Coturnix japonica: one gene and its partners. The protein of the gene in region 2 purifies or fractionates together with the protein of the main gene of each other region. This does not show direct contact. Links are inferred from orthologs where the notes say so. Each region holds a gene or a part of one and is shown on either strand. Other genes may lie near its edges. The genes, in order: NUP214, XPO1 and NCBP1.

The links.
Region 1: the proteins of XPO1 (region 2) and NUP214 purify together in Homo sapiens (affinity purification with western blotting; 4 studies listed by BioGRID and IntAct, with this or other methods). This does not show direct contact. The link is inferred for Coturnix japonica from reciprocal best matches to the Homo sapiens genes XPO1 and NUP214.
Region 3: the proteins of XPO1 (region 2) and NCBP1 purify together in Homo sapiens (affinity purification with western blotting; 3 studies listed by BioGRID and IntAct, with this or other methods). This does not show direct contact. The link is inferred for Coturnix japonica from reciprocal best matches to the Homo sapiens genes XPO1 and NCBP1.

Annotation. Positions count from the first base shown.
Region 1 is NC_029532.1:4,672,579-4,682,957, reverse strand, and holds the start of NUP214 (nuclear pore complex protein Nup214), read right to left. Parts: upstream 5,298-10,379; 5' UTR 5,161-5,297; coding exon 5,119-5,160; intron 4,137-5,118; coding exon 3,941-4,136; intron 3,383-3,940; coding exon 3,231-3,382; intron 2,761-3,230; coding exon 2,556-2,760; intron 1,944-2,555; coding exon 1,873-1,943; intron 1,552-1,872; coding exon 1,488-1,551; intron 1,215-1,487; coding exon 1,111-1,214; intron 927-1,110; coding exon 820-926; intron 427-819; coding exon 360-426; intron 1-359. Other genes in the region: AIF1L (allograft inflammatory factor 1-like), read right to left, coding at 8,002-8,089, 9,504-9,666. UniProt on the Homo sapiens protein: Part of the nuclear pore complex. Has a critical role in nucleocytoplasmic transport.
Region 2 is NC_029518.1:5,211,983-5,222,261, reverse strand, and holds the end of XPO1 (exportin-1), read right to left. Parts: intron 9,657-10,279; coding exon 9,475-9,656; intron 8,666-9,474; coding exon 8,509-8,665; intron 8,408-8,508; coding exon 8,244-8,407; exon of another isoform or gene 7,754-8,243; intron 7,462-7,753; coding exon 7,327-7,461; intron 6,971-7,326; coding exon 6,787-6,970; intron 5,719-6,786; coding exon 5,612-5,718; intron 4,749-5,611; coding exon 4,554-4,748; intron 3,695-4,553; coding exon 3,526-3,694; intron 2,538-3,525; coding exon 2,403-2,537; intron 2,304-2,402; coding exon 2,144-2,303; intron 2,066-2,143; coding exon 1,969-2,065; intron 1,315-1,968; coding exon 1,168-1,314; 3' UTR 201-1,167; downstream 1-200. UniProt on the Homo sapiens protein: Mediates the nuclear export of cellular proteins (cargos) bearing a leucine-rich nuclear export signal (NES) and of RNAs.
Region 3 is NC_029547.1:62,565,817-62,576,095, forward strand, and holds part of NCBP1 (nuclear cap-binding protein subunit 1), read right to left. Parts: intron 9,924-10,279; coding exon 9,802-9,923; intron 9,282-9,801; coding exon 9,212-9,281; intron 7,606-9,211; coding exon 7,390-7,605; intron 6,476-7,389; coding exon 6,378-6,475; intron 5,358-6,377; coding exon 5,294-5,357; intron 1,498-5,293; coding exon 1,387-1,497; intron 330-1,386; coding exon 265-329; intron 1-264. UniProt on the Homo sapiens protein: Component of the cap-binding complex (CBC), which binds cotranscriptionally to the 5'-cap of pre-mRNAs and is involved in various processes such as pre-mRNA splicing, translation regulation, nonsense-mediated mRNA decay, RNA-mediated gene silencing (RNAi) by microRNAs (miRNAs) and mRNA export.

The DNA of each region.
Region 1 (10,379 bases), on a different chromosome or scaffold from region 2:
CAATTGACAACCTCATATGAGTCACTTTTTACTACAGTGAATTTAACCACATTTTTAGACTACCAAGTAAATAATGAAAAGCAGACTTGTGGAACTTGGTTCACAACATACAGTCATTCTGTTTATCCTTCCTGTAACTCAGATCTTGTGTTCTTCTAAGGCTTACATTTACCTTAATATTCTGCACAACCTGAATGTTTTGGATTTTATTTGCTTGGTTTTGGTGTTTATCTTTTTGCTTTGCTTTTTAAAAGCTTACCACACTGTCATGTTGCAGGTCTTACTAAAGATTTACTTGTTTAGGCTTTCAAGAAAAAGGAGGTATGCATACATAAATGAAGCAGGAAGAAAAGCATTACCTGATCTCCTTGCCTAGCAAGAATGCTGACTTCTGTGGAAGCGGCCGAAGCTGCCAGAATTAGATCCCTGTAAGGATGGACACCAGTAGGTTACGAGATGCATAACAATCCAGGCAAGGTCTCTAGCTCTGCAAATCATTATTACCTATCCAAATTCATAAATAACAAAAGAGTTACAACAGTATGAAGCAGACTATTCCTTCCCAGGATGAAGGAAACACATTTGGCTCTGTCTCTGTAGAATGGTTGCCTTTTTTTTTTTCCTCCTTTAAAATTAGTCATCAGTGTATGTTGTCATGAAAATAAAGGAGAAATTACACATACATTCATAAAACATTCTCAAAGTGGCAATTTCATTTGGCTCACATTCAGGTCTTATATAGCTTACAGAAGGGAGAGAAACAGACTATTCAGACATGCATGACAAGGGAAAAGCTTTATCATGATTCTCACAACCCACCATTCCTCAACATAGTTGAGGTAGTAATGATGTTGTCTTTCAGCACAGCTTCCATAACAAGGCTCCATGAAATTCACAAACTTCTCTGGTCGCTTCTCTTCCTTTTTCTGAAAGACCAGCATTAATTATTTACTGCCCAATGTAGAAATTAAGTAACATCCTGTAAATATGGCTTCATCAAGGTACAGTAAACTCAAAATCCAAATGATGGCAATATACACTGTGCCATTGTCACAAACAGAAAGAACAAGCAAGAAACTTCTCTGTAGCTGTGACTTGTTGGAAACTTACGGGCAATATTGCTACAACCACTTCAGGAGGTGTTTCCAGCGTCCCATCAGCAGCAGCATATACAATAGCAAAGACATAGGTGCCAATCCACAGCACATCCAAAACTGGAAGAGAAGGAAACAAATACCTCAGTCAGATACACACCAAAACACTTCCTTGTAGTGTGAGTTACAATGTACAATGGCATTGCTAGCAGATAAGGAATCACTAACTGCTAAACAACAAAGATGAAGAATCATTAATCTAGCATCAGTCATACTAGGAGGAATTATGTAACCAGGGTACTATGAATGTGATGTAACAAGCAGTAACAGTGGATGAATGAGTGAAAGTATTTTAAAGGAGGAAACAAGTTAAAAATAAACAAAAAGATGTACCTTTAACAGGATTGTCTGCCTGATAAAAGGGAGGATAAGGGATTACCTTCTTCTCTTGCAGATTCTGCAAATAAAAACACTCTTAAGTACTACGAAAAAAGCCCCCAAACAACTAAACTGTAAGTTTCAGAGGAACTCCAGAGAACTGTTTTATAGTGACTCACTCCCTCATTAACACTCATCACGTGCCATGGTTAACTCACTACATTTAAGTGGCAGATGCACACCTTAAACTAAACCCAGCACTGGTCTAAGACACTTTAATATTACTGAAGTGCTTGGGCATGGCTCACAACACACGCCACCCAACTCAAATTCTGTACACTGACATGCAAAAAATTGAAGCATATAGCAAACTAGTGAGTGTCTTAGTGACAACACTTACAGGCAGATACTGTACCACAGTGCCATTTTGCCTCCCTACAGCCAGTTGTTTTCCCTTCGGGCTCCAACACACTAAAGAAAAAAAGAGAACTCCATCAGCATTAAGGAAATGTAGAATTACGAGGTCCCTTAAAGCAGGGCCCATAAATTAAAACTGCATTGTTTTTCCTCTGCAAAACCCTATGGATACAAATACAATTCCTGTGAATATCATGGTCTTGTCTTCTAGGTCACAAACTGAAAAAAGAGCTGAAATTCTTAAACCTCGTACTAACTAAGCTGCAAACATGTTTCAGCTTCACTCCCGTGTGCCCCTGTGCAGCTTTATATTGCCCTATAGTGGAATATATCCAGTCACATTTCAAGCATACACTTCAGTTGACACGAGTATATCTGGACGAGTTAAAACTATAGACAGAGGCCTAAGAATTATATTAGAGTTGTCACAAAGGTGCACCAATTTTGTTAAACGTGGGAGAGAGGAATACAGTCAGTGGCAACTATCAGTGTGACTGTATTAGCAGTTTTTTTCATAGTCTTAGGGAGTATAAATCCTGATCACGATCTATTTCAATTTTTAAGAAACTTCTTCCTGCGACAGAAAGCTTGTCTTCTTACAACTCTCTTTCCACTTTTATTCTTAACCATCCAACATCCCGTATCTTACCCAAGGCTCAAACTCACCAGAGGTAACAGCTACCGACGGAGGCAATGTGGCATAGACTTTCACAGAGTCTGTGACCTGCAGGACAGAGATGCTGCCATCGGACAGACAAACAGCCACCATGGTAGGACTAGCAGGGTTCCACTTCAGGTCATTGACCATTGCTGTACTTCCCGAGTCCTTGGCCAGCTTGTGATAGGCAAACATACGCTTCTGCTGTTTTGACTTTTAGGAAAGAAAAAATGTTTGAGCTCAAAAAGCATTTATCTTAAAGTCATAATCCAAAACAGTTTTGGCCCACCTATAAATTAACAGCTGACAGAAATAAGTGGGATAATGACTTTAAACCAAAGAGGATAGATTTGGATCAGATATTAAGAGGAAATTATTTATCTAGAGGGTAGCAAGGTACTGGAACAGGTTGACGAGAAGTGTTGGACACACCTTGAAGCATTCAAGGCCAAATTGGATGGGGCCCTGAGAAGCCTGGTCTAGTATAAGGTTGGAGCTAGATAATTTTTAAGATCTCTTCCAACACCCAAACCATTCTATGATGCTAAGAAGCAGATTTTGAGTTTAATAAACAACTTCTTTACAAGATACCTCCCACAGGGGCAGAAAACACCTCTCAAGGCATGACAATACCCCAGATGTAGTCGGGGGGAGTAAAACAAAACACTGTGGGTACAGTTTACCTGATTAAAGAACGTGCGGACATCAAAAAAGCCAATGAAGGAACCAATGTCACTGGACATCATACAGACAGACAGTGTGAGATTATCACAGCTTAGTGCCAAGTGCTGCACTGGAAACTTCACAGGAACTGAGGTACCCTGGACATTCTCCACTTAAAAAGATGAAGAGGAGGAGAATGAAGTGAATGGATTTAGCAAAAATTTTTAAAGCAATAGTTAAAAACTTATGCAAAATTCACTAAAGTATTATAAATAGCAGCTGTAAGAATTGATGCAGAAAAATTCACTGAGCGAAAGCAGATCCCTTCATCTCTAGCAATACAGTCTTAGAAGTCTCAAACTTCTTAGAAAAGGAAATGACACTTTCATTCCTCAGTAACCTGGAGGATAATGAAGTGGACGCTTTCCAGGTTTTACTCGTGGTACATACACAGGGATACTTCAAGCAGTACAGTCACCAATGACAACATGAGAATGAAAACCAAGCGGTTCTTATTGCTACTGAGTTTTTATAGCATTAAATGCACTTAGGTAGTGAGGTGGCAGAACAGACATCAAGTCCTCTCTTGTAGGATAGTCCAAGTTTATTTGGGGTTAGAACCCTGCCCCTCTCTCCTATCACAAACATCTCTGATATACATGTACGTTTATGGTTAGAGACTGGTTACTAACAACATCTGCAAAGACTGCGATGTATGAACGCATCATACCAATGTTATTGGGATCTTCTCCAAGCTGATTTTGCATGAGAAGATCTCTAGTGTGAAAGATCTGCAGGCTGGTTCCTCCACCAGCGAAGACGAGGCCGTATTTGTTAGACACTACAAGGAGACTGGACCGCTCTTTGGGAAGATCATCAGGAGGATCAAAGATGCGAACCTTCTTCAGAGCTCTGAACTGAAAGTCCTGTTGGAAGAGAGTTCAAACATAGCTTTATGTATGTTGGGGAACATAAATGGTTTACTTCACTTTCTCTGAGATCAAGCTGACAAGTGTCTCCATGAGCTGCAGAGCACCCATACTGATGATATCACTGATGATATCACACCTTATGTTTGGCCTACAAAAGACTGAGATCACAGTGTTGCTGTTATTGGAAGCACTGGCTGAAGCTCTCTTGCATACAGCAGCCTGCTTTCATAAACCTTGTAGGAGCTCTCAGAAACATCCCTGAAACCAGCCAGTGGATAGGGGAGAAGAAAGAGAAAGAAACAAAAAGCTTGTTGCCTAGGAGCTACAAGGCACACAACTATTTAGCTGTATCTAGGCTACAACAACCAGCCTATCATACAAAAAACAGATACAGCTATCCCTTCCACCCACCACCAGCAATTGCTCAGTACAGACTTTGTGCATTCACTTCTCTCATCACTTACACTGTTTCTATGTAAAATCACACAGAATGACCCGGGTTGGAAGGGACCTCAAGGATCACGTAGTTCCAACCCCCTGCCTGGCAGGGCCACCAAACATACACCTTTACTAGATCAGGTTGCCCATGGCCCCGTCCAACCTGGTCTTGAACACCTCCAAGGACGGGGCATCCACAACCTCCCTGGGCAGCCTGTTCCAGGGCCTAACCACTCTCCTAGTGAAGAACTTCCCCCTAACATCCAACCTAAATCTTCCCTCTTTTAACTTAAAACCATTTCCCCGTGTCCTGCTATTGTCAGCCCTTTCCAAGAGTTTACTCCCCTCCTGGCAGTAAGTTCCCTTCATAAAAGGAGGAAAAGAAAAGCCCCCCCACACCCCTACCAACCCAATAGGCCCCAATGACCAAACACCCACCCACCCCACCCCTCAGGGCCCTCACAGCGCTCTGTAACCCTCCTCACGCCCACAGCCCGACCCACCACCCCCCCACAACCCCCCTCAGAACCGAACCCACCTTCATCTCCCGCTCGGGGACCAGGTCTCCATCCTCCCCCATGGCGGCGGGATCCCCGGGGCCCACCCTCACACCAGCGCACAATCACGGAACTCTGCGTGGAACCAAGGAGCCCCCGCGCGACGCCGCGCTTCACTTCCGCTTCCGGCGGGGACGCTCTAGGCAGCGCCTCTCTATGGTCGGTGGAGGCCGGATGTAGCGGCAGTCCTCCGGCGGCCATAGGCTGAGTTAATATTATTGCTAATTAATAAAGCCTTGATTCCTTGCACTACGCAGCTGCTTCTCCTACAGCACAGCGGCTGTCGGCATTACCGAGGCCCCATTGCAACCACTTAGGGTGGGCACTATCCATGCTTTGCCCGCAGGTGGTTGGAAGCACGTGGATATGCAAAAGCAACGACCTGAACGCAAAGAAAACATCCAAATCCACCCCCCGTCCCTCCTTGTTTTATGCTGCTGACCAAACAACAGCGTTCACACCTCGCCCAGTACAGCAGGTCCATTCCCAAAGGCAGCAGATAGTGCTGTGAGCTAATGGCAGTTGTTCCTATTGAGGAACACATACATAAACATAAATCACAGCCTGTTGTTCCCTAGGAAAGAACCGGACTCCGTGTTGATAACACAACAGATAACCTCACTCAAGCCATTGCTTCAAGAGCAGAGAGGATGCAAATGTAATCAGGAAAGAGCTGCACGCATCTGCTCTCCATAAACACCCATTAGAACAAGCACTGCCACTTGTTTTCCACCTGTTTTCTTTATAGAAAGCCAGGCTGGTTTTCAGGAGTTACCCTCTGTATTTCATAACATGAACTCGCAGGCACTGGGTCAGTTCTTAATGATAAAAATCACATCAAGGCAGTCCAAACCTATCTCCAGGATCTGATGGAGGGGGTTTATATTAACCAACATGGAAAACAGCTCAGCTAATCTGCAACCAATCTTCTGGACCAAACTTCAGAGAAACACAACTAAACACACTGACACTGTGTGGCTTCAGGAGGTTTATTTTCAGTTTTTAAAGCAGGCTGGTGCTGCTCTTACAGTTTTTCCTCTCCATTACAGTTTTGGTTTTCATGCGGACAGTAGTGAGAATGTTTTCTTCTTTAAAAGTGCAGCCTTTGGCAGGAACAATAAGCTTAGTCAAGTTAATCATCTGCGTTTTCCTTTAAAAACTATTAAACTGATTTTAAGAAGCTGCCAAGAACGTTTAAGAGTAAAGGGGGGAAAGGGCAAAGAGCAAACATCTGGATTCCAGAAGTTGTGCATAGATTTACTGCAGTAACCAGAGTGTGGGCAGCACAGCCCCTGCGCTTAGTCCACACTCACAGCCATCCTTTGTAAGCTTTAGGGTTTATACAACAGGGAAGTATTTCTGGCAGTCCCCACAGGACTGAGCTGAAACACATTCAGAGAGGTCTGCAAAGTCAAGGAGAGCAGCTGCATGAAGAAAGATCCTCATTCACAGCTGGTTTGGGAAAGCTCACAGGGCTCACAGTTTGGTCACCTTGCTTCCTTACAACTGATGCTCCAACCTCCCCCCAAAGCCTTCCTGAGGGGCTGCAAAGGCATTGTTATGTAGGCTTATTTCTACATTTGGACAGACAGACACTTGTTCAGCAATGATGTTCCTGGTCTGATCCAAGTTGTTTTATCAGAAAGGGGATCCCACAGTAGCTTTAATCATCCCCACTTGCTGGCATAGCTTGCCCCTCTGCAGATCAGCTCTCACTTTCTGCTTGCTTCTTTTGCTATGGCTGATGAACGAGTCTCATAGGCCAAGAAAAGCAGAACAAACCCAAACCAGGAAGGGGCAGGGGGAAGGGCCTAAAGCTAAAAACAGCAATGTGCCAGTGGCTTTTCCTTAGATGAAAACAGACTTTGCAGAACTTATTCCTGTAGTTGTGGCTCAGTTGGATTTATGCATCAGGGTTGCAGAGCCACCCTTGAGTTTGTCTGCATTTGGTTCACAGCATCCCATGGAGGGGTCTTGTCTTTGCCTTGTAACCAGCAATTAATACAATAGGCACAATTTCTAATCTCATTTCTAGTAGGAGCTAGCAGGACACTGTCTGCATGGTTACTCACAGAGCATGTTCCTGCTGACAGGTTAGCTCTGATCCTGTCCTAAGGCAAACTACAAAGGAAGGGCACAGAAAACTGGCCTGAGAACAGAAGGGCACAGTGGCTCTACAGCCTTTCAGGGAGGTGGGGACTTCAGGCAGTGACTTTTGCAAATCTAAACACCTTTGATAAGCACTTGGTTCAAGGTGAAGCCCAATGAATGTCCTTTAGCTGCTAAATTCAGTGAGAAGTGTTCCCTTACGACATCCCAGCCTCAGCAGCTGACAAAGGTCTTCCAGAAGTAGAGGACCCAGGCACATCAGAGACATCCCATGCTGATTGTGTAGAACTTGCTCCTGGGGCTGATGAGGACACAGATCCAGGACTAGGATCTAGACTCCAGTCAGGAAGCATAGGACAGAACAGAAGGCACTTATTTACACCCATGAAGCCGCTATCTGATAGCAAAGCTCTTCAGGAACCTGTTGTGACAAGCACAGCTCTGAATCCATCAGCTGGGTAGAAAGCTCCTTCTTAGCTGAGAAATGCAAGAAGGGCAGAGGAAAGAGTTAAGATCACTGGTTTTTTTGGGGTTTTTTTTTGTCTCACATTATACTACAGCTTCTGTCTAGAAAATCAAGTTAGCTAAGGGATGCTGCAGAAAGATGCAAGCTGGGGTTACCAGCTTCCCTTGCTGTTCCTCTAAGGCAGGTTAGTTGAAAACTAGGACTGTTCACAGTGAAGAGTAACAAAGCACAGGTAATCTCTGTTACAGACCAGCAAAGCAAACAGTGCCAATTTTCCAGCCTGTCTTCTTCAAGGGAGGCTGGCTATATCTCTCTCCGGAGGTGGACCGGAAGGTCTTGGGTTGCTTTCATTGGCTTTTCCTTCAAACATCATGACCCTGCAAAACAATAAATAATACATATTAAAAAAGCAGGTGTATCTTTACTCATCACTGAGAGTGGGATTATCATACCTTCTATGCTATGGCAATCTGATAATTACAGAGGACAGAAGCCAACAGAGGGCAGTGCTGCCAGCTCAGCCAGCAGCTTTGCTTTTCCAGTAGCTTCAGGGAGCGTGTTCCCAAAGCCTCTGCTGGTTTTCCTCTCAGAGCCCATAGGATTAGCATGTTTTATTTAGACAGCCACTTCCGAAATCCCCCTGGTGCACACTGCGTGCTGAGTGCTCCTGATGGATAACAAGAACCACCCCTGGCCCACCTTGTGCATAACCATCCAGCAGAACGTGCAAAAGCTAAATGAAGCAACGGCAATTACAGCCAGGAAAGGGGGCTGATACAAGGAGCAAGGCAGTAGCTTGAAGAATCCCAAGCATTTTGCAACAACCAGTGCTGTCTTCCTCCCAAAGGACTGCAGCTACGCTGGGAATGCCAGCTGCCAAAGTGGATCAAAGGAGTGCACTGCTCTTGGGACGAGTTTTACATTTCTGCTCCTGCTCTAAACACTGCTCAACACACAATGGGGCATCTGTTTGTTAGCGAAAGAAGGGACCCATCTGTGAAAGCTGCTGCAGTTGGGAGGAAGAATAGACGATACGGGGCTGGCTGCAGGCTCAGCCTGCTTCAATGAAGAGCAGAGCAGAGTTGTCAGAAGAGAGTGTGCACTTGGAAAAGGGGCATCCCAACATGCAGACACACACAGGGTTCTGAGTGGGAGGGAAGAGACTGCCAAAAGAATGTAGCAGCTCAGAGAGAACACACTCCAACATCTTCCTCCCAACCTGCCCAGAAAGCTGGCTGCCTTTTTAAAGCTGCTTTCAGAAAGGGGCAATGGGGCATAGAGGGAAGCGGCTCCTATTCATGGTGCTTGCAGACAAAAGCAGGATCAGCTTCTGTGGCTGAGAAAGGAAGAGGCAGGCTTCAATGGGGCGGAGATGGAGCCAAGAGAGCCCACTCTGCTACCAGAAGGAGCCAAGTAAGCGGTGGGAAGCCATTTGTTACAGCAGGACTTTGAGAGCCCTGTTGAGAGGGCAGAGGAGGCCGTGGGAGGAGAGTGCTGACAGCTGGTAGCAGAGCAAACCTCCCCCAGCACAAGCCAGCTGTCCCAAGCTGATGTCTTCTATCCACCTACAGCCCAAGTTGCAAAGAAATCAGCCAGGGAGGGACCATCCTGTGGGTTATAGGAGTCATATAGACCATCTTTTACTGCTCATGTCCTTCCTCCTCTTGCACAAGGGCCCTCCTCTCCCACTGCACCCACCCAACAGGCACAGCTCCAGCTCTGCCAGACAGCAGAGATTCTGCTTCCCATCTCCCCCAGCATCTCCCCCATCTCCTCATGGATGGCACTCACAGTTTAAGTACAGCAGAGCGTTTGCCAAGCATCACATTAACGAAGTCCTGGTAGGAGATGGTCTCGCTAACCCCTCCGGTCACCTCAGAGATCATCTTCTTCAGCTCTAGGTGGGTCTTCGGAACACCCATCTTCTCCATCATCCTTTTGACAGACATCAGATCTGCAAGAGTAAGGCATCAGTGCTATTGAAAAATAACAACACTGCACCTGGACCAACCTGGAGGCACAAGCTGGAGCTCCCAGCTAGGACTGATGGCATGAAGTTATCAGCTGAAGCAGAGAGAAGCCCTCAGTGCAGCCCCATTGCTGTATGGGCAGCAAGGAACAGCACGTCCTATTCATGCAGCTCAAGAATAAAAGAAAAACATACTGTTGCAGAAGAACAGTGCTCAAGAGGCATGTAGGGACACCACTACTGAGCTCAGAAAGCAGTGCCAAGAATCACAAGGATACAGAGGGGAGAAAGCAACACTGAGGTTAAAGCTGGAGACAAAGAGGTTCTGGGAACAAGAGCTCCTGCCCAGCACTGCAGGTCGTTTCCTTCCATTGCTCTCACCAGACCAGAGACTTGCAGCCCCTTCCCTCCTGGAAGAAAAGCACAGCAGGGCCAAGCTCCTCCAGCTCCCCAGGCTGATTTTAAGGCTTGGTGGAGGAAGGGAGCCAGGCAGGAACCTCCTGCAAGGGCTAAATGCAAGCGCTTGCCTTCAGGTGCCTGCTCCAGGCCTGGAGAAACCTGCATCTTTACTTCTGCTTTCCAGCTCTAAAGCAGGGTCCTCCCTGCCAGGCCACACATCCACTTCCCTTTCTTCCCTCCACTTCCCTCCCAGCAAACAAGTGCTTCTCCACACTACAAGTGCTTGTGGTTTGACACAG
Region 2 (10,279 bases):
CATATATTGAGAGCAAGAATACCTTATTACTGGCATTCTATAGCAATGTAGTATGGAGTATTTTTAGTCATGGTGTTAAGTCAAAACTACACTTTCAAATAGAACCCAACTTGTTTCATGTTAGCTTTCAAGCTCAGCCTTGAGATCAGGAGAAATCAGAAAGAATGGTAACCTAGACCTCAAGGACCATTTCCTATGCCTTCAGGATACAAACCTTTAATACGATCACAGCATTTTCATCCAATAAAAGAATAAGCCGAAGAAAGAAAAATAAATGTAAACCAAGTTTATTTTGCTTTTAAGTAGTGTTCTTTAAGCACTACAGCATGGTAAACAATGTAAATTAGTATAAGTCATCTCAAAAGCCAGAGGGTTTTTTTATTTTATGAGTAGTTAAAAAGATGCAGCCTATTCTAACAGGATAAATATTTTAACCATTTCACTTCGAGTTAATGAAGGCTCACAAATGAGCAACACTCCTCATTGAGGAAAACAAAAAGCTGTTGTCGACAAAGCGACAGCACACACACAAAAACAAAAGAACTGTGTAAAAATAACTAACTGTACTGTGTTCCCATACGCTTTAGAAGTTGCTTTACAATGGGATGATATGCACATGATCTTGCTGCAAACTTGCCATACAACTTGCAAATACATGTAAGCCTAGCCTTTACCCACTCAAATCCAAAAAGCTGCTAATTGATCAGAAAAATTGCAGCACTATAATCCTCTGCTTAACAATTAATTAAAACTGTTTTACTCATTACTTTTTCTCCTAGACTGTAGAGCAGGCTAGAAGGAAAATGATCCCAAATTAAAAATTGATACTCTTACAGGAAATTGTATAGTTTTGCAATATAGTCCTTTACAATTTATGTTTTGCCTATTTTCCCCTTAGCCACAAAAATGGGCATGAAATAATTACTTTGAAAATGCAATAATTTTCAATTCATGCAATTCTAAATAAAGATGACCAAACAAAAGCTTAAACAATGGAAGGATATTTCACAGAAAATTTCTTATACAAAAAACACATAAGAAAAGAGGGCCACTAGGTGACATTTTAATTTACAAATTGGCGTCATTTTGGTCAACAAATATCCAAGTGCCGTTTTCTTCTGTCACAACAAAGTGGCTGCACAGAAAGAAAACTGCAGAACTTGTTTTTTAATCACACATCTCCTCGGGAATTTCATGTGGATTAAGGATGCCAGGTACAGACATCTGAAGTTTATGTTTCTCCTCTTGAGCTTGTCGAAGGGCTGTTTCTCTTTCCTCCAAGAATAAATCTGATGTGTCTTCACCTGCAAATTCCTGCACAATTCACACAAAACCATTACTTCACTTTAACTGCATCAGGAAGAGCAATAAGCTTCTGAAAATATCAAAAACAATGTTGGTAACATCTTCCCTTCGCATCCTTGTCAGACTATTTCTTGTTTTGCTTCCAGCATGTAAGATCAGATTCTAAGACAAAAATTTCTAAGATATTCACCATGCATCATGGTACAGTAACATTGCTTTTTGTTTGACCTTATCATTAAAACAGTCTCTTTACAGTTTTTGAAATATCTACCTAACGTAGCCTGAGAACATCTTTAACATGTACTTTCGTACAATCATCTTTAATTTTAGCATCTTTGGAAAAATAAAAGCAGAGCACTAGTCTGTCAACTTTCAAAACACACCCTAGTCCCAAGCAGAAATGAAACAAGATCTGCTTTATGGCCATTTTAGACCTGTAAGTATGACCAATGTATAAGCAACAGCATGCATTTAAACTTAACCTATACAATTAAATTACACTGAAATGGATTACATGATCCAGTATCTAGACCCTCGAGCCATGACAATTTTAAGTAGTAATAAAATGTATGCCCTATTATAAATGAACACCGTCCAAAAACTTAAAAACATCATCCTGCTACATATTTTTTACAATTCTCTAAGAAACCATGCCAAACATACCTTGATTTGGACCAGGAAATCCCTTAGGTGCTCCTTGAAGGCAGGAATATCCTGGTTTAAACTGAAGAGTCCTGTTACAAACAGCTTAACCTGGGCACTAACAGCAAATACATCCATTAGTACTTCAGTATGTAAGTATCCACTCAAAAGTATAAGACAATTACAGGACACTTACTCTTGCAGATGAGGAAATGCAGATTTGAGGAGATTAGCAACGTATTCTTGAATAAACATTTGGTTGTTCACTGGATTTCCAGGATTCAATGGAGTACTTATTTTTCCCTCTTCTACCAAGTTGAACATGTATGCAAGGATTGATGCATGCATTGTCAAACCTGAACAGATCAAAATTATACATGTTATTATTCAGAACAAGAAATGCAACATTACTATGATGTTTGAAAGGCTTGTTTTCACCTGGTTCACAATCTTACCAGCAGTGTGCGAAGTATCTGTTACAACAGAGAAGATGTGCTGAAGGATATCACAGAAATATGTCTGATAGAAACTCTGAGCAGCAGCCTCTTCTTGTGCAACATTTTGTAGCAGAGTGTAAAGTATCTGAAGTCCTGAAAAATTTGCATAAAAGAAAAATGAACCAAACTATACCAAAAGCTCCATTCATCCTTAAGTCTTTTCAAAGTGAGACAAACATCCCAAGAAATTCTGACAAGCATTGCAGTTTAAACTAATCATTCAAGCAGCCAGTAGAGGGCGGCAGCCACATTTATACTGAGCACCAACATGGTTTTCATTATTAGAAGGCAGAACCACGAAGAGCCAACCACATGATTTCACTGGTACAAAAGTGAGAAACTCTATGAAGACATACTAGTTAATTCAGGAAGGGAAAAAATCACACCAACAGTTACCTTAATACCTGAAATGCAACACAAAGGCATCTTACAAACATAAACAATTAGCTAGTATTGAGGTAGCTTCAAAACAATCATTTTTATCCTGTGGTTGAGATGCTTTCAGAATTTATGACATTTACACAGCTTTTCCTAGCCTTTCTTGGGAACTCTCATCCTAGAGGACATTTAATTACTCAGGTGTGCTAAAAATAGCTTCTCAGTGAAACCTGAGATGAAGTGTAACTTGCTGTTGTTCAAAAGGAGTTTTCCTTTAGTCTGGAGTACTTCCCTTGCTTTATGTCATAGCTGTCTCCCAGACCAAATTCACTCACCATTTTTCTGCTGTCTTTTTCAGTAGTAACTTAGAGACTGCCTAAGTGAGGGAAGAAGTTAAACACTCCAAACAGCACAATGAAAGCTGAAGCAGAAAACCAGCTATGAGCTGTTGCATCGGTTCAGCCATTTCAGAAAAAACCTCACACTCTATAAAGAGAAAGCACGCAGAAACAAATGCCCTCTTCTGTGAGTAAAAACATCCAACTATTTCAGTACGTTAATGGGTGTCTAGTTGTCAACTTGAAATTGAGATAGGAAAATACTGTTCTTCTGCAGCAAATACAGTGTGACTGGAACACTATATTTGACTAAAAATGCAAGAAAGCAGCAATCTACATGCTTAACACTTAAAACCTCAATTTACCTGTATCTGCAACATTTCTCATTGTATGCTTGAAAGCCCAAATAATAGAATCCAAAACAAGTTTGAACTGTGCAGGTGGAATGGCCAGGAATGCTGGGAAGCAATGAGAATTTACAGCCTGGAGTAGCAAGAAGAAGTTTGTTCTGTGTTCAGGATATTCTTCAAAGTCCTGAGAGTGAGGGGCACGGGGAAAGGTTTGGGGGGGGAAAGAGGGAGAAACGAAAAAAAAAGAACAGTCTGTCAAGCTTCCGGAATAGCTCAAAGATCCACTATCCACAGATCTCCTGCTAAGAAGAGCAAGTCAATATCCAATACAGAATAGCATTTAGATCTCAGATTTGAAGAAATTTACAGTTCCCAAATTCCCAGTGAAATTTTTCCCCACACTTCCACCACCAAAGCTTCATAAGAACATTTTCTAGTTACACATCAGCAGGCTGAACCACATTTTGTCAATATACAACTTCTATTATTACTACTTGGTTCCACAGACACAAGACAGTTGGCCTCAGCAATTAAGCACCTAGCTACTACAGGGATGCACTTTCTGGCCCATACTAGTGCAAAATGGCACTAATCTAGCCAGTATTATGCAAGTACCTGCAAACAGTAGCACAGAAACTCTATCAACTAAGGAATTCATCAAGGAAACATACAATGAACTAAAAAATTATGAATATGAGTAATGATAAGTATATATGAATTCAAGTCATTCACCCTACACTGAAGTCTACTCAAAGCATACTTCAGCTTCCAGAATCATGACATTTCAAGGTCTTGGAACAGAAAAAAAACTAATAATTTAATTTTAGGACTGTATTAAGAAATTAAGTCAATGAGACTAAGACATTCACCTGGACAGCCAGAATTCATGAACCTCAACCTAATTTCCATAAAACAGAAGTCATAGAATAACACTATGTCAACTACATACTGCCCCCTTTCTTGCAATACCCAAAGACTAGTACTCTCAAAATTCCCACCCCCTCCTTTTTTTTTTTCCTTTATCAAAAATTTACATATAATACCTTATTGATCATGTTTAACGTGCACTCAAAAACAGCATCAAATATCTGAGGTATTTCAGCAGTAATATGTCCACCCAGCTTGTTTACAATAATAGCCATAGTACTAAGTACTTCAGGTTCTCTAGCAGCTGGAACATTTCTCTGGTAGTCAATGAGAACTGCATCCAACAAAGGAGGAACAAAGTTTTCAGCAACCTAAAAAAAACCAGCAAGATACTGTTACAACAGTGCGGTTACTGAACAAAATCTCAAGCAATTACAAGGTAGTTCTGAAAGAAGCTAAAAATAGGTAGAGGAAATTGACCCCTCACTGCAAGAAAGACACTGAGGCCCTGGTACATGTCCAGAGAAGGGCAATGAAACTGGTGAGGGGTCTGGAAACAAGTGGTTGAGGGAGCCAGGATTGTTCAGTCTGCAGGAAGCTCAGGGGAGACACTGCCCTCTATAACTACCTGAATGGATGCTTTACTGAGCTGTGAGTCAGCCACTTCTCTTGCATAACTGGTGACAGGACTAAAGGGAATGGCCTCACGTTGCACCAGGGGGAATTCAGGCTGGATGTTAGGAAATACTGCTTTTCTGAAGTGGTCAGGAACTGGAATGGGCTGCCTAGGGAGGTGGTTGAGCCACCAACACTGGAAGCGCTCAAGAAATACTTAGATGCTCTGTTGAGGGACGTGGTTTAGTAAGAACTATTAGTGACAGGGGGACAGTTGGACTGGATGATCATACATGTCTTTTCCAACCTTGGTGATTCTGTGATGATATGTTACATAACCATATACTCCCCACCCACAGTATTCATCCAGCAGTGGTTGCCTGAGGACTGTCTTACACCTTCTTACTTTCCCTTAGCATTCCTCTCAGCTGAAACCGAAGCAATCAAAATACAGCTCAGGCCTACCATCTGTATGATCACACCTTATCCTTCCTTCATATACTGCAGTTCTGAAACTAGTTTCTGTGAACAGAACAGCACTGACAGCTCCTCAGCCAAAGAGCAGAGTTCTTCCTGATGTTGTTCTATGAATTATTTGTTTTAATATGAATTTACTTACCATCTGAGGATCATTGGACCTGCTCACCCAGCCAGAAATCAGTTTTAAAGTCTCCCTTTTCACAGTCCTCATACTTCTAATTAAGGGCTGCTTTGTTACCATTTCACCTGAAAAGTTGTAAGGCTTCACTTAATCTAGGTAAGATGTGCCAACAAGAAGACTTTAAAAATTCAGAATGTTTCATTTTTATAAAAACTACCTCCCCGTTATTTCAGTAACATAGGTCCAAGTTGCAATTTGGTATTATGACACTACTACTGACTGCCTGCACAACTCAAAAACAAAGCTGTAACTTACCTTTCCAGTAAGGGAATACTGCATGTTCATTTAACCACCTGGATCAAGCTTACCTCTGTCTCTTACTTAGTGACAAGAAGACACCAAGTTATGCAGTGTTTTAAAGCAAGCTCCTGATTTTGTCACAAACTTTATAATTCAAACTTGTCTTTACTACAAGGAGCATAATTTTTATTTCATTTTCTCACATCCAAGTCAATTAAGTCTCATCAGTAAAACCTGCCCTAATTGAGTGCATGGCCACACAATTATAACAGCATATCCAAGAGAAACCCTGGAAGACCGCGGTCAGGGAAACAAAGGTAGAACTGCTACTGCAGGCATCAGAGATAACCAGTTGTAAGAACATACTCTGAGTTAAGTGCAATCACAATAGCTCTCGCCCTAGTAAAATCTCAGGACTACAAGTCCTAGCAACTGCTTCCCATTTTGGTTGTTGTGTTTTGCTTTTGTTTTAAATAAGAACAAGTTCTGTAATAAGAGCTGCAGAGTTCAGAAATGTATTGACTTCACAGGCACTTTTATTCTGAATTCAGAGAAGCGACTTCAAGGTCAACCAGCTGTTCAGTGGTTAAGTCCAAGCATTCACTAGTATTATTATTTGCATGGGTAAGAAAATCTTTTGTAAGACAGATCCAATATAACCAATCCATTTCATCTCATCAAGAACTACTACAGCAGCACATTCTACTTAGATATCATACAACTCTAACCTATCCAGTAAAAACTGGTTAGGTACCTTAGGTCATTCTCTTGCCCCCCCCGCACAAACAACAAACAAAAAACACATGCACAGTAAGATAAGCCCAGCTGTAATGAACTTCAAACCTGATGACATGCACTGTCAATCCCATTAAGAAAAATATGAGATTTCTTACCATTAGCCTGAATAGCTGCAGAAATATTTTCACTTAGGCACTTGTACACATTCAGCATATCTAAATAAATTCTTCCAAGCTGAATCACAAAGGGGTGGCCAACTGCTTTGCATGCTCTTACATTGGTTTTCAGAATGCTACCAAGCTGCTTAACCGTTTCGGGATCCTTCAGAATATCAACATTCTGTTGAAAAAGTTTAGTTATTTCCATTTAGTCAAAAAAAAAAAAAAAAAAGCCACTTATATTCTAGTACAAAAATGGTCACTTGCAAGAATTTATCTTACACACTGCTAAGGGATTTTCTGTGAAATTCTTTACACTGGATTTAAACCACTCTTAAGTCATTCAAGTCTTCTCTTTTCAAACAACACTTTTACTGTCACATCAACCATTGCTTTATATAAGTACACCCCAGCTAACTTCACCTAATTCCAGGAGTAAAAAGAACAACAAACCCCAAAACAAACAAACAAACAACACAGAAACAAACATTCAGCTGTTTTATTTTAATTGAATACACTTAAAATTTATGGCCTTACTTTTGTTGCCTGCTGAATTATGCTGTCCCATACTTGATTGGGGAGCAACATGTATTTTTCTATCAGATGCTCCTGTACAGTCTGGTCTGTTTGTGCCCCAATCATGTATCCTACTGCTTCATAGAACGTATGCACCTGATTGGAAAAACAAGTCAAACAGAAAGGTTAAGGAAGACTACCCAGAAGTTTACCATGTTCAAAACTAGCAGGTAGTAAAAGCTGAAAATGGGTTTCCAGTGAATAAACATGTACTTCCCACTTGAGTTTACAAGATCTTTCTCCACCTTTTCCTTACTTACACCACATTTAAGGTAAGCCTCCATTCCCTTCCAATGTTACTATCTCAGAGACCTCCTTCATTTTTACCTGAAGCAATTTCAGGCATATGCTTTCTCTTATGATACAGCTCCATTTATTTCTTTTACAGAACTTTGAGCTAAATCGAGTGCAGAAAATCAGAAGTCGGAACTTAATACCTCCTCAGCCCAAGGTTTCCAAGGTTTTCACTGCAATGCATCAGCTGTGCATGCACTACACTCTGTAAGAACACATTCTCCCTGCAGGTATGCTCTTGCCACTGGACACGCAAGACCCATAAGTATGCTATCACAGTAGAATACTCTTCTTTGCTAATCAAAACCTCAAAATCAGATTTACTATTATTTACTTGTAGAAGCATTCCAGAAAAAAGAATTTCAACTCGGCACACTTTAATTCTCTTTTCAAGAATTCTAATTAAGGCCTTAATAATGTAACACAATCATACCGTCTGTAACATAACATTCACTAACACACACACACACTCACACAATATGACTAAAAAATACAATGCAAATCTTAAAAGTCTACTATCAAGTTTCGTTATGTCACAACTTTTTACTCATCTTCACAAACTTACAGTCCTGAATTATATGTACCTGTTGTGGCTGAAGGTCACAGATGATTGTATTTATATTGTTCAAGATTTCATCAATGAAAGGCATTACTTCTCCCACTTGAACCTGAACAAAATGTCGGCGGCACTTTTGTGCTATTTTAATGAAGGTATCACAAGCCATATCCTGGACACCATCATGGGTTTCTAAATCAAATGAGATCAGTTACTGTTTTGAATTTTCCCCCAGACATGCACTTGTACTCGGCATCAAGAAAGTCAGAACAGCAAGTAGAAGAGATAGTTACCATGCATAAACTCAAATAGCTTGTTGACTACTGTCTTCAAAAACTTCCAGTGAGCTCTCAAGAAACGTGGGTATTGGCCTACTATGTACATAATATTTGATGCAATAATGGCTTTGTTGTCTTTTCCTCTCTTTTGTTCACAGAGTCCTAGGAGATCCTACAATGTAACATATTATTAGTCACCTCCCCAAGTTTGTAGGTTAGAAGAGCAGTATAAAGGCTAAATTAAGCTATCATAATGATGCGGTAGAGTAAATGCTATTATTAAACTCCAAGCCAAATTGATTTAAAAAATAAAAAACAAACAAGAAGAGTTAAAGATCAGGACAATTCTAAGTTTCAGCCAAATCTAGAACAACACCTTTTCAGCCATGTGTTTTAAATGTAATTAATGACGTATACAGGGCAGACTACAGCAACCCTCAGTGTTGACTACTGACCAATCAGTTGATACAGATAAACATACAGGTATTGCACAGCAAGTAGGGGAAACTAAATCCTCTCTGCAGTATTTTTATGATGTAACAGCAATGCTTAATTACTCCTGTAGATAACATTTTCTTCCTGTACTCTTTCCACACACACATTTACTAAACATGAAGTGAAGAGTGCTATTTGGTTAAAAACAATGCACGTTACTTTGCTTCATTAAGGCTACTCTTACTTCATTAGTGCTTTTTTTCCATATCTTCTGCATTCCTAAAGCAAAATACTTCATCATAAGCCAAACTTTCCTCTCCAGAATTTTCACAGTGAAAAGGCTATTTGAATTCAAGCATTTTTCATGACTGAGGAATTTATCGACCTAACATTCAGTATATGGTATTTCCCATCAAATTATTTTCATCAATATGTTTGCTGTACAAGACAGCTTACTGAAGAATGTAGAGCAGTGTCTTTTTAAGCTCAATTTCTTGAGCATAAACTATCAAGTATGACAAAGCTGTTAGTTTTGTAACACAATACCTTAATTACTGTAACAAGGAATCTTTTTTCATCTTCTTCATGCATTGCTCCACTGATTGAGCCTATAGCCCAACACAGTGTATTCAAATTTTTCCATGACCATTCTGTCCCATTCACTTGATTATGAAGTTTCTCTGTCATTATTCGTTCTGTGTCTGCATAATCCAGATGCGTAAGATACACTGAAAGAAAATTAACAGTAAAAGTAAGCAAGATTATTTTTAAGTTAATTTCTAAGACAAAATCAAAATGCTAAGTGTAATACTTCTCTTGTGAGCTTATGATAGAACAAGCTAAGAATTTAAACCCAGATCTGCTAGAGTTGTAAAGACAAGTATATTTTCTATCAGTCAGATCAGTAAAGCTACTAAGTTAAATAATTAATAAAATGCATACATACTCATGAGCCATAGGAAATATGACATAGGCTAGCTCTGAGGTTATTATGCTGCATTTAACAAGTCAGTCAATAATTCTCCTCTGTTCATTATTTCAGTGTCATTACATCTGTTGGATTTAATAACCCGCCATTAAAATGGAGATGGTACACCTGAACCTAGTCTAAGTGAAAAGATTCAGCTTTATCAGCTCAGACCATTCCATCAGCCCCTAAAAAAACTCTCTAACATAAGTAAAATAAATAATCCCACCAAGTCAAAAAGCAGCATAAAGGTCAGATTTAGCAATGGATTTTTACAGTGCCACTTTCACTGTACTCTTGCCTTTTTAAGAGGCGAATCTTCTATTATGACAGCACACTAAGCAATAACAAACACCAAAATTCAAACTAAAGACTGTCTGACAC
Region 3 (10,279 bases), on a different chromosome or scaffold from region 2:
AAGAGAGAGTGTCATGTCCTACTGTACCATATGGATGGATACACAGAAGTTCTTGCCAGCACTATAGCGGAGTGTTTTAGAAAGAAAGGGCACAAGGCCCCAAACTTCTATTTACATTGATCATATCAAGAGCCCTCCAAAATTGTTTTGAATGGCACTAAGGATTTATAGTAAGAATTTTGGATTATTTTTTCTGTAGATTCCTTAATGCCCAGCACATAGAAAAAACAAAGAATATTTTCCATCCCTGGAAAACACATTTACCTGTCAACACAGGTTGTATTCATTGTATCCAAACGCATGTAGAGCATTTCTGTGGCTTGTGCAAGCTGAAGTTTCTTATTAAGGTTAACAAAAAAGCACTAGGATAAATCAAATGCAATTCCATTCAGTTTTGGAATAGAACTGCAAGAACTGATAGCTCCTTTGGACTATTCCAGAAGCAGGTAAATCACACTAAATTCATAGGGGGGGGATAACAGAAAGACAAGAAGCCAAAAAGCATTTTCCCATCTAACACTGTTTCTCTTCCATGGCAGTGAGATTGCTGTCTGCTACACCAAGTTAGAATTCTCTTCACGCAACAGAACTGTACAGACACAAACAGATAACAATCAAGTACTTCTGTAACCTTCCTTGTACCTTAACAGGCTGCTCTTGATACTCATGCACAAACAACCTTTGATCATAACTGAAAACTCAAGAAACTGTGTCTACGCTGGCTTTGCCCAACAAAGGCTTTGTTCTTTTACAGCATCCCTATTAACATTAAAAGCCTTCTGCACAGAGATCCCACAGTTCTAGGAACCTTTCTAGCTCTAATCACTGGCATTACGTGATTTTCAAACAATGTGTCCTTTTGGCCAAGAAGGCCAATGGTACCCTGGGGTGCATTACAACAGGTGTGGTTAATGCACTGAGGGAGGTGATCCTTCCCTTTCCTGCCCTGGTGAGGCCATGTCTGGATTTCCATGTCCAGATGCTTCCACTGAGAGCATCTGAGTAGGAACTTGTGCAGGTTCATTTTAAATGATCTGCTATGCTCACACAGATTAAGTTTATCCCTTCCTTTCCTTCTCAGCCTTCAATATGCAATCAGGCCACACGTTATGCAGTCCTAACAGGATACTAGAACAGCAACTCTTTGGAAAGTGAAAGGAGTACCAGCGTAGTGTTCAGAAATCTGAGTAGTCTTGCTCAGTCACCCAGACTAGACCGATGCTACACGGGCTGTGCTGTTCTTTCATGCAAGTATTACAAGCAAAGCCTCATATGGCAGCTGTAAAATAGATTACTGACAATATTTATTGCTATTTCTTCACCTACAGAACAAGTGGCATAAAGACTCCATTTTAAAAATGCTCTCTGGAAACAAAGGAAGGATACAACTTGTGGTAAAGAGCCAGGCTGAAGCTTGCACAGTTCAATCAGGAGCGTTGTGTACATGACCTCGATGTGTGGTGGAGAAGGAAGCTGAAACAACTCTGCAAAAATTACCTGCAGGAGAGGAAGGCATAGAATCAGAGCACAGTCAGCTTCAGATCAGCAACATCAGCCTTAAACAAGCACATACTCAAATTGGCTGTTATTATTCTGTCAAGCAAAAGGAGAAAAAGGTGATGCTTACAAAGACAGTGGTAACTCTACATCATATTAGAAGATTCTAAACCACTCTCATCGTTTTGTACTAACACAACACAGTCCCAGCATTAGACACATCTAAGAAATACATCTACATTATGCTCTATTTAGCGTTACCAAATGGTGCTGGCAAAACAAAGTGGGAATAACCTGGTTCTACTAAACAATAAACATTAAACACATTAAGCAAAGCCTAAGTATACAATATGAAAGACAACCAACATGAAAATTAGACAGTACTTTTTCACTCTATACTCTATAAGGAGATGAACTCCATCGAGAAAGCTTCTGGGTCTGATAAAGATGGAGGACTGCTATCCACTCCTGCTCTTTCAAGATGAGTTACATGAGGAAGCCACAAGGAAATGACAAAAACACGATAAGCTCCTCCCTTGGGATACAGAAATATCAGGAACACAGGTAGTGTTCTCTTCATTCTTCTTGGCTGGAGACTGTGACCCACGTGGATGCAGTGAAAGGACCATGCCAGTGACTGGCTGCAGGAATGGTATCAATCTCAGGGTTACGGGTTCTGTGATTCTGGACACACCTTCAAGAGATTGGGTAGGCTGACATTGGATGGTATGCAACTGTTGGGACAGAGCAACAATTTAATGGGCAGAAAGCTGGCTGGGCTAAGAGAACTTTAAATAAGATCTGATGGGGGAAGAGCTTGTACTTTTAAGTGACAGAGAAGAGCCAGGAAACACTGTCACTTTAGAAAGCAGCAAAGAAAAACCTCAGATCTGTCTCAGAGGGCTCTTACAAGAAGGCATCGTGGCCAACAGCCTGCCCAAAGTACCTCTACACCAATGCATGCAGCATGGAAAATAAGCAGGAGATGACACCATGGTGCAGTTAGAAACTGTGATGTAGTTGCCATTGCAGAAACATAGTGAGACAAGTCACAACACTGGAAACACTTCAGCTGAGGGCTGCAACGTTTCAGAAGACAGGCAAGGAAGGAGTGGGGAAGGAGTTGCTCTATAAGCACAGAGTGTGAACAGCTGCCTCTGGAAAACAGTCACAATCAGGTTGAGTGCTTCTGGGGACCATACCAATAAGGGACCTCTGGTGGTCAGGCTCCCTGATCAAGGAGCCCACTGATGAGGTCTTCTTGCTTTGTCTGCAAGAGATGTGTGGTCTGTCCCCATTCTGATGGGGAATTTCAACCACATGGATGTCTGCTGGAAAAGCAACATGGTGAGCCTTAAGCAATCCAGGAGACTTCTGCAGTGCTACTGAGGACAGCTTCCTTGCACCAACAGGGGATGAAGCATTACTGAACCTGGAGCTCACTGATGCAGTTGAAATCATGAAACAGGTTAAGACTGGAGGCAGCATGGGCTATAGCAACTACATCCTGTTTGAGTTTGTGATTTTAAGGAAGATGGGCCTGGCACAGATCAAAGCCGGGACCCTGACATTCAGGAGAGTGACATTTCATCTGTTTGAAGAATTACTGGATGGGATCCCCATAAAGCTGTTGTTGTGGACAAAGGAATAGTACAGAGCTGGCAGCAGTTTCAAGACAACTCTCCATCCCCAGCATAAGAAATCTACTAAGCAGAGAAGGCAGGAAACTGGAGATGATATGAGACGGCAAGCAGAGCTTCACCAAGGGCCAACCATACCTGACCAATCTGGCAGCCTTCTGTGATGGAGTGACAGCATCAGTGGACAAATGAAAGGCAAGAGATACCATCTACCTAGACTTCTGCAAGGCCTTTGACATGTTCATAAAATAGTTACAGTTGGAAAAGACTTCTAACGTGCTCAGCTCCAACCACCAATCAATCACCACCATGCCTACTAAACAACATCCATCAATGCTGCATCTACACTCTTCTTGAAAACCTCCAGGGATGGTGGCTCCACCACCTACCTGGGTAGCCTGTTCCAATGCCTCACCATCCTTTCTGAGGAAAGGTTTTGCTTAATATGCAACCTAAACCCCTTCTGGTGCAACACCACACTACATCCTTATCCCTAAACTAGAGAAATACAGATTTGAAGGGTGGTTAAATAACTGGTTGGATGCTTGCAGCCAGAGGATTGTGTTCAGCATGTAGAGGCTGGTGACTGACTGGTGATCCCCAGGGGCCCATCCTAGAACTGGTGTTCTCCAACATCTTGATCAGTGACCTAGAAAGCAGGGTTGGCACAATCAGCAGATTTGCTGATGGCACTATGCTGAGTGGTGCAGGTGATGCAGCAGAAGGAAGGGATATCATCCACAGAGACTTTACAGTGCTGAGAAGTGTGTGCATGTGAAACTAAAGCCACAGTACACAGAAGCCATTCTGTTTCAATTATGTTGTTAAGAAATGTATGGTAAAAAGGCACTGGGGAACACGTTAAGTACAGAGCTACTGCTCTCAAGACAGGAAACAACAACACTTGGATGACAGGTCATTAGCTATTTGAGATGCTGCTTTAGATGATAATTCTGATATAATTCACATGCTCATTATCAAATATTCATGTAAAGCATTTCATGCAGTACCAAATTTTGTGGAAACAACTGAGTGACAAGAAAGGTCAATACACTGAGAACCTGAACATATAAACTTTGTCTGGCCCAAGCAGTACCAAAAGCTTTACAAGTACAACAGGTAATACTAGTTTAACAGCCTAGTGACGCTGTGCAGACAATCTCTGTTCACAGCCACCAGTATTACCCACGTAAACTTTAATAAGAAAGTACTGAGGAAAAGGCAACACGTTTCAGAGTCCTGTGCATGGAGCATTCCATGCTTGAGCTGACAGACTACAACATGGAGCTTCACGGACCTCAAAACTAAGTGCATTTTGGGAAGATGCTGAGCAGCATCAGGCTACATTTAGTTCTGTCACTCTGTTACTTTCTGAACCTTATATAACACCTGTATTTGTTAGACTATGTTATTTCTGCTGTTCTGAGTTGTATTACAGAATGTATGAGAAAATTCTGCTGAACTGCTGTTGAAAGCAACAAAATACTAACCTGACTATTGAGAGAGACCTTATAAAGGAACAGTAGCAAGCAGACTGTTCAGAAGCTTGTAAAATACATGCTATGCCTTAAAGCTTCTTGAATTTCATTAAAAATTCACAGTCATAGGCAATAAAATTCTAAATAAAGTTCTAAAATTTATGCAGAAATTGCAGAAAAAAAGAGAATTCTGATGGTTACATTCATACAGTTCATACACCAATCTTGCATTCCTGTGCAGACATTTCATCTATGCAGACTTGACCATAAGTAACACAACTAAACAGCACTTTTATTATTTGTCATTTTGTTGCCAGCAGGAATTCTCAATCCCATCCTATTAAAATAAATCTCCTACAGAAGATATATTTATTGTTATAATTAACTACAAAATTCTACTTGTAGTTAGTTCTTCATAAAGCCTTAGGTGACATGAACAAGGTTTTAAACAGCCCTGCATCCTAGAAACAGACTCCTGAAGGCTGGCAGCAAGAGAAAATCTGTACTGTTTTTCTGATACATCATCTAAAATGAAAGGTGCCCTGGAAGAAGCAAACCACTGTACCATTACAAGCTCTTTTCAGGACCAGGACAACAGAGTCAATATGAAAAACAAACAAAAAACCAACACCACAGCAAAAAAAGAGCCACAAAAGAGATAACTCATAAAATACATACCTCTACTATATGATAGTTCAAGGGTATCTTGTTATTTCCAGGATAGCTCAACAGCTGAGCAGCACTGCAGAAGAACGGACACATTTAGTTCAGTGTAACACAGCAAACGTAATGTAAAGATTAACTAACAAAGTTATAGGAAATGTTTAATTCTCAGCAGGAAGTCACACAAGTCACACAAAAGTCATCAACCAAAATCCCTTCCAAAGATTGCCAATAACACAAGATCACACTAGCACATTTTTACCTCTGGCAAACTAAATTTTCCTCTTTTACTTTGTCAGAGGAGTAAGAGATTATTCCAGTGCCTGCAACAACCCCGATTCAAGAGAATAAAAAAAGAAATTGCAAGCAAATAACTTCACCAAATTCTATTAAACATTGGTTCTGACCATTTTTACACACTACACCAACTTTGGTGGCTTTCACACAGAAGTATGACACAGGCAACTAATTACCCATGGCAAACAACCTCACTTCCCACATCAGCCTTTACCAAAGCAGAAAGGAAGAAACATGGCTTGACTGGTTCCTGGCACTTCCAAATTCAAATAGCAGAAATCTTATGGCTCTGTAATGGCTGCTCAGTTACCTGAGTTCTCTCTCCCATGTAATCCCAAAAATAAAGACTGCAGTAAGGAGCAGGCAGCAAAAGCACCTTCATGAATACCAGCTATAGATAAACTAACTAAAGGTTCACTGCATCTCAACAGATCAGCTTCTCTTAAATTCCAGGAAGCATAATATGACCACACACTCCATTGGGCTTCATGGGAGCATAAAGAGGTAGGTGGGTCTGTGTCAGTTTTAGCAGCATGTTCTTCATTATCAACAAATTCCTTTCCCAAGGGGTCACAGCCACTCCAGCCCTGTGATTGGATGGATTCTTCACTATCACTACAGCCCCACAGTATTCCAAGTAACAGTTTCAATACAGATAACCATAGTGAATCAAATGCTCTAGGGAATGTTTAATCTCTAGCTCTTGTTTAACCAGTCCAGGATTCTGAATATCCCTGATGCTACCAAAGCCATGTTCTTATATAAAAAGTGCCTGGGCTCCATAGTGCAAAGCTCTTCCTACCAAGTCTTTCTCTCTTTCCAGTGGGATTTGATGATGCAGTGAAGGTTCTCTTCTATTACAAATCGTTCAACAGAATGGCTGCCAGGCATGACAGGGCCCTAGTTAGACAGAAAAAACAACAGGTGATGACTCATGAAAGATTACTGCAGTGCCACTACAGTTAGCTGTTTATAGAACAAACATGGTGAGTTCTTAACTGCCTTGTATTCTACTGGGAATGCACACTGACGACCTGTATTTAAAACAAAATGAATACGAGGATTCATTACAGAGGGAAACAAAATTAGAGAAAATAATCACAAGTTCACAGCGCACCCAGTTCTTCCTATGATCTATACAGCAATCAGGCAGTCCACTAACAGGCTGCTCAGAAGCATTCTTGAGTAAGGATATGATAAAAAAAATAGAGCAGAGAGAATAAAGTCATGATCTCACTGACTGCAAAAATCACTGGACAAAAAATGAAGGTAGTAGACCTAAAGCAAAGGGACTTACAAAGGTTCTAGGGGAAAACAGTACATACTCCTCCCCATTCCTATACAATTTTATCTATGCATCTGCTGCAGACTACTGCTGGAGGTAGTCTGTGGGGGCTAGACGGACCTTTCCCCTACTCCAACAAATCACACTTCTTTTCCCCAAAAATGTGCATCATCTTGTTTTAACAGAGAAGTAAACTGTACTTTCTAAAGACTGCAATAAATACCCAGTCAGGTAAAAGATCAAAATCTTTGTGATTGCTATTATGAGAGACATAAGAGAATTTATTCAGCACTGTAATACTGAATCCAAGCATTGGAAAAATTTCACTCCCTAAATTCTACTCCTCATCGACTTCCTTTGCACTGTAACTTTGTCATCCAGTTCATTTCTGCAGATGCACTGAAGTATAATTACTGCACATCTTCAAAGCACCAACTATTCTGGGAGAAAGGACATCATATTTTGACCTGGGTTGTACCATGACACTACCTGCAAAATCAGTTCACCCTCCCCTGCAGGGGTTACGTACCTCTGGGTCATCAGTGTAGTCAAACATCCTAAAAATTACCCTTGGCATGGGATATACTGAGTCTTCAGTGTGAGGTGGAGGAGTGAATGGTGGCAGATTGTGTTGCAAAGCCTCACAAAGAATGCTATCAAAAGCCAGGTAGGGCCTCAGAATGTGTCGTTCTTGCCAGCGGTCTTTTTTCAACTTCTGAATCTGAGACCAGAGGCAGTCTAAATACTGAAGGGAAAAAACAGTGAAAAACATCAGATGTGCTGAATCCAATAACAAAAGTTGCAGCTTATGGTGCAATCAGAAATGCATGCCTTAAATTCAGGAAAAATAAAACCCAAAAACAAAACAACAAAACAAATTTCTTAAATTACTTCTTGTGGGATCTAGTATTTATTAAATCAAGAAATAAACCAAAAACTAAACATCAGAGCTGCTCCCAATTTCACCAAATATCCTGTTAACAAAATTTAACCACTGTTCTTAAACAGCAAAAGACAGTCCAGGCAAGCATGACAGCCACCCTTTGAACACATCTGCAAGACTACAGTCATTTCAGTCAGTGCTCACAAGTGGTATTCAAAGAGATTCGGTATCTGTACTTAAAAGTGAAGAGACATTCTGGAGAACCACCATGTTCAAAAGTACCAGCTGCTGCATACTGAAGACAATTGCAATAGTACCAACAATTAAATATATTTGCTATGATTTTCAGATCAATTGGAAACCCTAACACTCTCTCAGAAATGGTACACACACTTAATTGTAATACTAGCTACATGTCTACTTTGTCCAGCTGCTTTCAATGCCCCTGCTAAAAGCAGGCTCAAGAAGTCTGGAGGCCACAGACTTTAGCAATCTGTGTGTGGCCTTACTGAATGCACGTTTTAAGGTGAAAAATCTCCACAAAGAAGTCATTTGCACCACTCTATGAAATGGAAAAAAAATACGAACAACTAGCACCTGATATGAAAAGTAACACTGAAGGTATGCTGGACATCACAAGCTCTAAAATGCTTTCTGCTAATCTCTTTTTTACTAAACTAAATGAGAAAACAGATATTGCGCAAGAACAGTACTCATGATGAAACAGTCATTATCAGAAATCCTATTTCTTCAAATTGGCATTAACAAGACAGTTGTTAAGACTGTTGAGATTTAAAAACAGGGATTTGATTTAATCAGAACAGAGAAAAATGTACAAAGGATTACTAGTCAAAAAACTCCCTGAAGATACACTTAATTTTTAATCACACTTTTCAACCAAGTTTGCCCCCAAACTTGGGGGAGGAATAAGAAGAAAAACAAAAACCAAAACCAGAGAAGGTAAACTCTACACCAAGCTACACAGATACCACCTCCACTCTGTAGTATTTTTACTTTAATTGAAGAAAGATGGCACAGAAGCTGCTGAGTACAGTTTCTGTACATTTGTTTAGTACTTCCTAGTGCTGAGAAAGCAAAGCCACTTTAAAGACTCCTTCCTAGCAAAGAGAAGACACTATGGGGCATGGAATTACACTTTGCTTTTCACAAAAGTAGCACGAAGCCTTCTATTTGCAGTTCCAAAAGCACTGCCACAGCTTACAGCCATTCTTCATTTAGTAACACCTAATACTCACCCCATAACATGCCACAACTTAGGTCTAAGATTTAGACAGGAACTCCTTACCTAGAACTTGTTTTAAATAATGACAAACAGGAGACAATTAACAGCACAAATACTTTCAGAGGTACCTCTTAATCTTCTAGCTGTCTGAATAGAAGCTGCCTGTGCTTCTACCACAACAGATTTTCAGACTTTCTCAAAGAATACAATACAGAACCCACTCACCTCTTCCTGTGGATGCGGTTTATCAGCAGTCCAGACTTGTAACATTGGAACGTGAATCTTCTGGCGGCGTCTGTTTACACAGAAAAGAAAACCTAACCCTTAACAGCATTTTTAGTACAGTCACAATAAGGAAAAAAAAAAGAAAAAACAAGTACCCTACTACTTAATCTCTTCAGTTGTTGAAGTCTAGTATGCAAAAGAAAAAAAAAAAAGAGTTTTAATTATCATCTCTGCAATCATATCCTGAGAGCAATCCTAACTTGAATCACCTAGACAAAATCTAGTCTCACTGCACAGTACTAAGGTAACCTTTCAGTATTTGCAGCAGTTACTGCTACAGCTGTCCCAGCACAAGCTGGACAAGACTGTCACCATACCCTAACAATAGACAATGCAACTAAACTTTTAAATTTTAAAAGGTAGATTACTCCATCTGTCCATTTTTACAGTGTTCTTACATTTCTCCATGCATTCTCCCCCCAATCCCAACGAAAACAACTTAGACCTAGGACCTGGTATTTTTTAAATGAACACTAATCAAGGTTATTGTTATCCTGAATAAGTACTTGAAGGAATATTTTACAACTTACTTCAGATAGCTTTCTGTTTGTGATAAAAGACGATCCATCTCAGCATCCTTTTTTTCATACAATTCCTTTCCAACCCAAGGTAAAGATGACAGAAATGCGAACATATACCAGTCACATCGTACCTACAGGAAAGAAATATTCTGAGACTTAAGCACACAACTAAGCTCTAGAAGATTTCCTACATACATTCCATTTTAATTTAAACTACTGCTTTGTGGTGACACAAAGATCAGCAGCTGAAGACTCAGTAGGTAAGTAATGAAGAAAAAACATACATTACTGCTAGAAATGTACAACTTTTAACTTGAACTATGACAATCAGGCTTGAAAACAATCACTTTCACAGTCTTCCTGCAGTTATCTTTATATTTTGAGTGTAAACAAACCTGGCAGAACAAGCCAGGCACTGTGCAGCTGCCAAGGTAAAGTAAGATTCATTCAGTGCAGATACCTCACTATGGAGGCTCACACTTCCTTA